Linked DNA regions of Neurospora crassa OR74A. The protein of the gene in region 2 purifies or fractionates together with the protein of the main gene of each other region. This does not show direct contact. Links are inferred from orthologs where the notes say so. Each region holds a gene or a part of one and is shown on either strand. Other genes may lie near its edges.

Evidence for each region. Proteins that work in one complex are often made in the same cells at the same time.
Region 1: the proteins of NCU00395 (region 2) and NCU02162 purify together in Saccharomyces cerevisiae (affinity purification with western blotting; 6 studies listed by BioGRID, with this or other methods). This does not show direct contact. The link is inferred for Neurospora crassa OR74A from reciprocal best matches to the Saccharomyces cerevisiae genes MSS51 and SHY1.

What each region holds. Positions count from the first base shown.
Region 1 is NC_026501.1:1,040,613-1,045,766, reverse strand, and holds the start of NCU02162 (SURF-family protein), read right to left. Parts: upstream 3,521-5,154; 5' UTR 3,092-3,520; coding exon 2,794-3,091; intron 2,689-2,793; coding exon 2,170-2,688; exon of another isoform or gene 2,053-2,169; coding exon 1,947-2,052; exon of another isoform or gene 1,858-1,946; coding exon 1,758-1,857; 3' UTR 1,694-1,757; coding exon of another isoform or gene 1,522-1,693; 3' UTR 1,397-1,521; coding exon of another isoform or gene 1-1,396. Other genes in the region: CEN-T, read left to right, coding at 1-1,396, 1,522-1,693; NCU02163 (hypothetical protein), read left to right, coding at 4,120-4,650. UniProt on the Saccharomyces cerevisiae protein: Required for efficient assembly of cytochrome c oxidase in the mitochondrial inner membrane. Involved in a step that couples MSS51-COX14-dependent regulation of COX1 translation to early steps of cytochrome c oxidase assembly.
Region 2 is NC_026503.1:3,705,088-3,709,868, reverse strand, and holds NCU00395 (mRNA processing protein), read left to right. Parts: upstream 1-1,593; 5' UTR 1,594-1,726; coding exon 1,727-3,270; intron 3,271-3,341; coding exon 3,342-3,381; 3' UTR 3,382-3,581; downstream 3,582-4,781. Other genes in the region: NCU00396 (pre-mRNA-splicing factor rse-1), read right to left, coding at 1-655, 846-1,089; NCU16682 (PXA domain-containing protein), read left to right, coding at 4,481-4,781. UniProt on the Saccharomyces cerevisiae protein: Has a dual role in the assembly of cytochrome oxidase subunit 1 (COX1). It has a regulative function on COX1 synthesis, acting as a translational activator specific for the COX1 mRNA, and it also binds to newly synthesized COX1 protein.

The sequences.
Region 1 (5,154 bases), on a different chromosome or scaffold from region 2:
CCGCCTACCGCGCCATCGACTCCCGACGCGCCGCCATCCTCACGCCTCACCACGCGCGCCGGCGCTCGTTGCGCGAAGCCCGCGAGACCCCGCGTAATTTCCTGCTGCAGTTAGGCAAAGTCTTGGCGCCCAAGAGTGAGAGGATCCCGAGTAGTAGTTCGAGTCCTGCTTCGGCGCTTTCTGGATCTGCTGCTGCTGCTGCTGCTGGGGGAAGACAAGAGCAAGAGGAGGGGGACACGTCGGAGGAGTTGACCTTTGACATATCCACGCGGAGTAGGTATGGAGATGAGGACGACGAGGAGGAGGAGTTGCCTAAGAGGCCGAGACTCAGCTTGGGCTTAGGGGTGGGGGATGGGGAGGGCGATGATTGGGAAGATGATGATGAACTGCCGCAACCACATCGGAGTGCAGGACTCGAAGATCTGACGGAGAACTTTACGGTGCAGAGTATCGAGTTGCCGAGACGGGTGGATCCGGAGAAGGATCAACAAAGGATGAGGGATTCGATGGGGCGGTTGAGTGATTTCCCGCAGCTACAGCAACAACAACAACAGAGTGATGGGATCGATTCGGGGTTCTTTCCGCCTGCTGCAATTGATGAGGACGACTTTGGAAATGCCGAGGATAGGATACCGGATGAGTTTAGCAGGCTGGACTCGGACGAGACGAGGAGACGGGAGACGATAGGTGGGGAAGGAGGGATGGGGCTGCTGCTGGGAGCTGGAGGGAGGGATAGTGATTTCCACATTGAGGTGCCGGTGGGGATGGACGAGAGCACGTTTATGATTGCTTCGCCTACGAGGCAGTTTGAGATGGGTCAAGCTGCTGAAGCGGCGGCAACAAGCGGCCAAGGTGGAGGTTTCGCGGAGTTGATGGACCAGAGGAGCGACAGTTACGACAACAATGACGATGACGGAAATGATGTTGGACCAGCATACGACGATTATGATAACGACGACGGTATGGCCATGGATCTGGATAACAACCAAGACGACCAGGGCCAGGCAGGCTCGGATGAGGAGATGACGAGATTATCAGGCTACACACCAACGGCGGCGAGGGTATCACTTTCAGCTTCGGCGGCGCGGGAGAAACTCGGATTGTTTCGGGAAGAGGGTGGTGAACGAGGGGGCTTCTCCAAGATCAAAGCCACCAAAAAGATCTCCAAACACGGCATCGAGTACACATCATTACCTCCGGCCATGATCAAGCGGCTGGCGCAAACATTCGCCAAGACGAGCGGCGCGAAGGGAAACATCTCGCCTGAGGCGCTCAAGGCAATCATGCAGGCTTCGGACTGGTTCTTTGAGCAGTTGGGAGATGACTTGTCGGCGTACGCAAAGCACGCCCATCGCAAAACTATCGATATGAGTGATATGCTTACATTGATGAAGAGGTATGTTTTGGCGCTTTTGCTTTGATCCCTGGGTATCCGATTGTTTATATCCTGTGTAGTGTTCTTTGTACACTTTTTTCGAGCTATTGTACACGACGGACTGACTTACATTTTTGTTTCCATAGACAACGTCAAACCAACGCACAAACCACGCCGTTTGCCTTGGCGCAACGATACCTTCCCAGAGAGCTCCTCCAGGAACTGAGGATGACGCCGCCTGTTCCGGTCAAGAAGCGCCGAAAGGCTGCCTCTTCTAGCCGTGCTGGGGTTGGCGGCGAAGACGAAGAGGTGACGTGAGAGTGTTTGTTACCATTGATGTGTGACAAAGCAAAGCTATCACTGCCCACTCACAAACTCATGTTTACCAGCTCTTGTTCATGCGAACGCGCTTGGTAATCTGGTTCGCAGGCTTCTTGACCACGAGCCAGAACATGATGGAGGTGGCAGCAGCGAGACCGTACCTAAGTACCAGTTAGTCGGGCACTGATATGCGATACCGCAGGGGTACGTCAAGAATTGGAAGGAGGTGAAGCATCGCTTAAGAACATACCAAGTAAAGATGTACTGCGCATGGTTGTTGCGAAGGTTGACCTCGGCGACTCTACCGATAGGGATACCACGCGCCTCGTAGTCATAGACGGTGATAATATCGGGAACTGCGCACAAACATACGTTAGTACCATACCTAGCTAGAATAGCCATCATACCATTATAGGACGCAGGCCAGGCCAGCCACGTCCAAAACTGGCAGAGAAGAAAACAGAGATACCCACCAATAGTCTGCTCAATCCACACCGGCTGACTGCCCGTCAACTCGGCCATCTGCTTCACATCCGGGAAATAAAACTCGCCAATATCCGGCCTGTTGTCCGGCGTGAACATATTCTTCTTCCACGGCTCTCTCAGCATGCCCTCCACACGGACCTTTTCGCCCTGCTTGACGGAATCCGGCCTGCTCCTCTGGTCCGCAAACTTCTTACTCACCCACCCTCTGTTGACCAACACCTTGGAGCTCGGATCATCTCCCCTCTCCAGGGGCGTAACAACCATGTACCCTTGTTCGCCGTCGCGCATGCGCGGGCCGATCAGCATCTCTTGGTCGTGTCGGTAGACGCCCTCGGCGTAGACGCGGCGGTAGTCGAAGTCGGCGATGGCGGCCGGGTCCACGCGGGGGGGAAGGGGGAGAGGGTCCCGGATGATGCGGTCCTCGCATTTGGCGATCAGGTCCGTCTTCCATTTTAGTCGGTAGACTTGCCAGGTTCCGAGAAAGAGGGCAGTGATGGGGATGATGGCTGTGGGGAGGAGGAGGAGGAGGAGGAGGTAAATGCGTTAGTCAGTGTTACGGCTGCATAGCGCATGCTGAGATTGTAGATGGTTGGGACTCAATCAGGACATACCCAGGATAATCAACCCCTTGCCATGTCTCCTGCCGGTCCGCACAAGCTCGGGAGGGTTATCGAGGATGGAAGTAAAGTTGGGATCATCGCCGGGTTGTTGAGTCTGTCGGCGTGTGGACGAGGTGGTGAATTGGCGGCGGGGACTAGAGGCAGGGTTTCTGCCGAGTCTAGCTGTCGTGAATCGCGTCGCAGCTGCTGCGTGGGCTGCTGCTGTTTGTCTTTGGAGGATTATCCTCTTTCCCAAGCTCTGTTGCGACGTGCGCAGGAGGCACTGGAATATGCTCCCGCTGGCCGCCATTGTCCGTTCGTTCGTTTCGTCGGTCGGTTGATCGATCGGCCGAAGAGGTAGATAGGTACTGTAGGTAGTTATGTGGTGGTGACTGAGAGAACGAATCGGAGGCTGCTGCTAACAACGACAACAACAACAACGAGCAACCATAAACAGCGGCATGTGACGAAAATGGAGCTGGGGAAAGATGCGGACAAACTTCGTCATTTGCCGGACACAGGAAAGTTCTCGGTGGAGCTGCTGTTTTGCTCCGATCAAAGTCCAATTCTGGGCGATGCCCCGCTGCCGCTGGTGGTGGTGGGTGTGGGTGTGGGGCGTTTCCATCCGAATGGCCGGGGCCGCTGGGTGCAGTTCCTGAGCGCCGCCCCACCAATGCTTGGCACCAGGGGTCGTGTAAGTGATGGATGGTTGCTAAGGGACCGTGGGGGTCATTTTGAAGACGGACGACAAACACCTTGATGGTCCATAGATGTGAGATTCACCAGGCTGTGTGTTACTTGGGACTGTCGGTGGTGTACAACTCTAGTCTTCAGATTCGTTTGCTGATTTGAATGTAAAGTGGAAGCCTTGCTTCTGGGGCTGTGCTGATGATTAGCCACCCCTCCTGATTTCGCAGTGAAGCACCTGAATGCAGCTTCAAAACAAGGTAAGGCAGGCCAGGTCCGGAAGATAAAAAAAAAAAGAAATAATAATAAATACTTCCAGGTGCTTCTTCACGGGCATAGAGCAGGCCCCGTTTTGGGGCTTCATACCTAAGAGGTAACCCGCTCGTGTGTATCAAAGCAAGACTTCTTACTGCTTTCTCAAACCACTTGAAAACTAAGGAAACCACTTCAGGCTCGAAAGAAAGTGCACTTTCCATCTTCTGCTTCCCGCTCGCTACCTAGGTAATCACAAACCTAACCCAACATCGATCCGCCCAACCTCTAGTAGCCTGCCCTCCTTCGTTTTACTTGACATCAACAACACTATCAAATACTCGGTACTATATACCACATCCATAAGTACAGAGCTGCTCGACTCAAGAAACGCCCAAGATGTCTTCTCCAGGGGCTGGCAGCCTCAGCACCCTGTCGAGCTACGCCTCCTCCGCACCCGATCATCAAGGGCAACACGCCATCGGCCTTCCACTTCCCGCTACGGCTCAACCTACCACAGCCAGAACTACTACTACACTGCCGCCAGTGTCTCCATCATCTACTGCCAACGCAACCAACTTCCTCACCAACAACTCCTCAACCCCCTCCAACAATATCAACAACAACAACAACAACAACAACAACACCCCCAACCTCCTCAATCCAACACGCACAGCCACAATCAACTTCAACCTTCTCCCCGAGCTCGAAACCGGGCTCGACATCGACAGGCTCAACTACCTCTGCCAAAAGCAACAGTTCATAACCACCACCTCTACCGACAAACAGCCAGAAGAGGAAGAAGAGCCAGAAGAACTTGGTTGGAAGGATGCATACGAAGTCATGATCAAAGTTCCCCTCCAGGGTCTTGCGGCGTGGGCGAGAAGGTGGAGAAGGGCTAGAACTGAGAGGGGGCAGGGGATGGTGTAAGGAAGGGGACAGACAGAAACTCGCATGGCTTCGTCGACTGGAGAAGAAGTTGGCGTGTAATTAGGTAACTACTTAACCAACAGACCAACGGATTTGGCATTGCGCGACGAACAGAATATGGGGTTTCAGTTTCATCATTGGGAAGAACGAGGAGTGGACAAGGCAGAGAATTGGATTACGGGCAACCGCATTAGCACTTTTTGTTGTTGTTTTTTTCCGCCGCCCTGGCAAGGGTAGAGAGACAGGCTCAGCGAAAGATGATGATCTTACCTTACTAGCAGCACAATAACATCATGACAATAGTATCACCCATCAACCCAAGCGAGCTAGCAGTGGTCAGACATATATGTCTGCTAACAGTTTCTGTGTAAAACAAGTTGAAATGGTATTTGCCCAAGGAGCGTACCTAGTCAGTTATTTGCTTAATGTGCGTGACAATCTGGTGTAGCTTGACCATCCATCTCAGCCTTCCGCTGCCACAAATCGTATGGTATCTCACGTATG
Region 2 (4,781 bases):
AGCTTGTGCATAACGCCAGAGACGATAACCCGCTTCCTCTGAGGATCTTCGGTGGCACCGCTGCGTCTAGGGATGGGGACGCGGAAAGCCTCTTGATTCGAGTGCCGATAGGTGACATTTTCCTCGCCGCACACCAAGACACCGCTGGGACCGTCATTGCCGCCGGGTACTTGGAAGAGAAGTGAAGAAGTGCGATCGACAGTATCTGACCACTTGCGTACAACGTGGTTCAGGCCCAGATCAAGCTCGTAATATACCAGCTGTGTCTCGACTTCTTCTCGTGCTTGGCCCGTAGGATCTTGGTCCGCGTCCGTGTAGTCCAGTTCCAACGCAGCGAAAACGGGGTTTGCGTAACCAACGTCAAGGGCAACAAGAGACAGCACCAACACGCCTGGCTTGTGGGCTTCCAGTGGTGACGAGATGGTAAGCTCGGCCTGTGAGTTTCGGTTGAGAACATAGACCAGCTTGTTCTTTTCGAGTGCCGAAATGAGGCATGCTCTTCCCTTTGGATCTGCGGCTAAGTACTGGCCGGGGATGACTCGGCGGACGCCCGATTTGCCGAAAGTCTCGAGGTGGATGCGCTGAAACTTGTTCGTCTTGGGGAGATACTCGATAATCGTAATGCGGCCCGAATCAGTGGCGAGGATAATGTAGTCTGGGTGGCACAGGGTTTTAGCACAATCCCGCTACCGATTTGAATGAGTCTCTCAAGTCCCCAGAAGACTCGTAGGCCTGGGTGCATGGTGCGTGACCATACGTGTGGCCCCTCTACCCAGAAGCACCTGGGGAACGGATCCAGAATCACTATATTGCCCAACACAGGAGGTGGCGGGGAGGTTACTCACCCTTGTGGCTGCCGGCCAGACGGAACGACGCGATGGCGCGTACGATGCCGAAGATGTCATGAGACAACAGGGTGTTGACCTTGCCCTGACGGGGATCAGGCTGAAGGAGGGTTAGACGCGATCCAGACGCCGTAAGAATCTGCTGTTCCTTGGTTCCCGAGAACTGACCAAGCAGAGCCTGCGTGACAGCGGTGGGTGGCTGGATGGTCAAGGAATACAGGAACATGTTCGACGTAGTCGCCATGGCTGCAACTGGGCGCAGACAGCCGGCGCGGCTCTGCTTTCTCGAGGTTGTTTTTGCAAGTGGGTAGGACTCGGTTGTGCTCTGTCAATGCTGCCGTCGTTATGTTGAGAAGACCAATGCGCGAAAGTCAGCCAGATTGTCGAAAATCTAGAGTTGAATATCGAGTAGATGATTGTAACACGGCAAAAAAAAATGAAACACGGTCCAGTGTTCTGGCACTCTGGCGAGGTAGATGGAGTCGGTTGCCGTCGATGGTATTTCTGGCCAATTGGTGCAGTCCAGTCACTCAGGTTGCAGCGGTACGTCGGACTCGGTCCACGGTAGGTCGTAGACGCCGCCCACTCATCTTCCCGCCTCGCGACTGTGGCTTGCTCGTAGCTCTCTGACCCGCATACGTAACGTCAGACGGAGCTTACCTAGGCACAATTGTGGCTGGTGAAGCAAGAACAAAGTGGGTCATTCGATGGACGGGACCCGCCTAGGCACTTAGGCACAGTAGAGGTAGGTAGCGAGTCGGGTCGGTGGGAGAGGACCCCGGATTGCTGGGAGCTGCTGCCAAAAAGTCAATTGGAAAGTCGCATCGAGTCCCGGCGATCCAGATTCCCGATCGAACATCATCCGACCTCTTGAACTCCCAATGGCCCTCCCAGCAGACCGCGCCGTGCGTCCGGCCTTGTCCAAGCTTTGCTCGCAATGCTCGACTTTCACAGCTAGACAGAGCAGGCAAAGTGCTGCGTTTTTGCAGTCAGCCCAGCAACGCTCCGTCAGCTCCATCCGAGGGGCACAGAGCTCTTCCTCGTCTTCGACGCAAGTCGGCGGCATCACCAGAACCATTTCGCGTCCGATCCAGGCTTCGATCACAAGCAAGCTTCCTTCCGTTGCTGCCCAGTCCAGAACCAAGGCCAGCAGCTCGACATCGTTTGCCACCAACGAGGATCTGGCCGGTAGTGGTATCCCCTCGAAGCCGATTCTCGAGCAGGACAACCTCTTCCACTCCTTCACCAACTCGCCCATCCCCAAGATCCGCCAGCGCGCGGCCTTCATAAGACAGCACGCCAGCTGCCCCCACCATAGCCACCGCCCAGGGCAGTTCTCCGAGACCAACCGCCAAGTCGATACCGAGTCTGGCTCCCAGCCGCCGAAGCACGTCGATTTCGAGTGCCCTGACTGTGGCATCCCGGTATATTGCAGCGAGCAGCATTGGATGGACGACTATGAGAAACATCTCGAGATATGCGACACTCTGCGGCAGATCAATGAAGATGACCATGACCTCCATTCAGGCCGCCACTTCTACGAGTTCAACTACGCCGGTCCGCAAATGGATGATGCCATGGTCAACATGACCAACTGGGACACGTTCATGTATACCCGTCAGTTCGAAGCTGTCAACGATGACCGGTGCATGAGACAGGCGACTAGGTTGTTGACCTATCCTCTCACGATCGGCAGCGTTCTTCACGAGTTGAGCCCGTACCACATCCGGAATCGCCTCACGGTCGAGGGCTTAAAGAGTTTGACGGCACTTCGCTATACCCTGCATCCTCCCAAAACTGGAGGCAACGAGTCTATCAAGGGTCTTCGGCCTGAGGCGCCCCCCGTGCGTGTCTTTATTCTCGGTGCTCGCGCTGAGTCGTCGCTGCCTAGAGATGCTTGGGTGCAGTTGGCCCATCTCTTCCCCCTGTCGAGACTCCATCTGATTTTCATCGGACCCGAGAGCATGATGAACCGCGATGACGAATTTCCCCTCCCGCCTCGTACTCCCGAGAATCCTTACGGTGCGGTTGTGGAGGATCGCGTATGGCCTACCATGAAGATCAGCACCATTGTGGATTATTACCATACTATCCACAAGACGGGTTATTTCGCTCCTCACGATCCTTACTTCGACTGCTTCGTCCTCTTCCACCCTGGTTTGGGCCACCCGGCAAGCTCCCACGAATGGGAGGAAACGCTGCCTATGCTTCTCGAGACCAAAGCTCCTATCATTGCTACGGGCTACACGCAGGCTGACATGGAGCGTGATGTCGAGTGGGTCAACAAGAAGGCCAAGGGTGAATTCGACATTCTCATGGAGCCTGGCGAGAACATCTTCCGCAGTCTCCGGTGGGATCTGAATGATCTTGACCCTCAGGACGTCAGTGCCGGTAACTGGGGTGTGTGGGCCTTCCGCGGAAAGAGGTTGGTGCTCTCTTGATTTTTTTCCCCCGCACAACTAGATACGGTTCGAGAGCTAACAGAGTTTGTTTTAGGTACGAGGCTACCGTCAAAGACAACGTCATTGCTGTATAGATGAGCCATGCGTATGCTGGTCGTTGCATCCTGTAAGATGTAGTAGGTGTTGGCAACCGGGCTGTTAGGAGCCCAGACTGTATAATAGGAATATCGAACAAACGCATTGTCACGACCATATCGGCTTTTTACACTTCAAGACTTTGTGGTATCTTTTCCGTTTCTAACGGTACGGGCTGGATGTTACGGATGTCGGATCCAAGGTGTGTGTTCAAAATCTTTTGGACTGCACAGTCTGATAATCTCGTAGTTGTGGGCCTAGGGAGGCACTGATCTGCAACGGTCAGGCTCGGGCCGCATGCAGCAAGTGCCTTGTGTCACGGCAGTCTGCTGTGGCAAGGGTGATGACAGCTTGAGCCTCATCGACGACAGACGGTTTTTTTTTTTCAAGCACTTTTTGTCCGTCTCACGCAACACCTTGCACCGCGCAGTAAATTTCGGTCAACGTTTGTCAAGCGAAGTGCAACGATAACAAACTTCAGGCGTGGAGATTCCTAACCTGCCAGCAGCAGTGTGTATCCTTGGTAAGAAACGAAAACTACCCACATGCTGGAAGATGACTCGCACCGACTTGACTAGAGTTAAAGGAATTTAAAAGCGGTCGAGGATGCGGTGCCGCCTTAGCTGCGTAAGTCAAAGGTGTGTGCTTTGTTGACATTCATTCAGGGGAAGCTCGACGACTTCAAGGGGTGATCGGTTCCATGCTACGGGCAACGACCATGCTTGGTCTTGGCTAACCTCACCGCCTACCCGTTTCGGACAGGTATTGGCTGATAAGCGGCAGGGTGCTTCCTTATCACCTGGGCTACTGCCGCTGTTGGCTGGGGTCGCCGGCCATCCACCACAGGTGCGGGACAGGCGTGGACGGAACACAAGACCGGACCACTCGCTACCTATCAACATGCACCCAGCACCACCTGTTCACCAACCACTGCACCGCGCAACACGCACAATCACACCTCGACGATTTTCTCTTGTCTTCCGCCTCTCGCGCTTCAAAGAGCTGCCAGGCTCTGAATTGTCATAAAGAGTGGACGGCGCTATGATATGAGCGGGTGCGCGCGGGGCACAATGCTTGGACACCGCTAGTTGGCCCGTCATGACAACTGCCTCGACTGCTGCTGCTGCTGCTGCTGCTCCCACTTTCTCTGCGCCCTCTGCGCCCTCTGCGCCCTCTGCGTCCCCTGCGGTCCCTGTCACTGCACAGAGTCAGGGCCCCGCTCCCACTCGTCTCTCAACCCCACGACCAAAGTCGCCCAGGACGAGCTCAGAACCATCTTCGTCGACAAACAACCTGAAGGCCGGCACCAGGTCACGGACCAAACGGGGATCGCCGTCGCCCCAGTCCAACGCGCAGCGGACAGACCCCCTTTCTGACAAGGCCACCGTTTATCTGATCA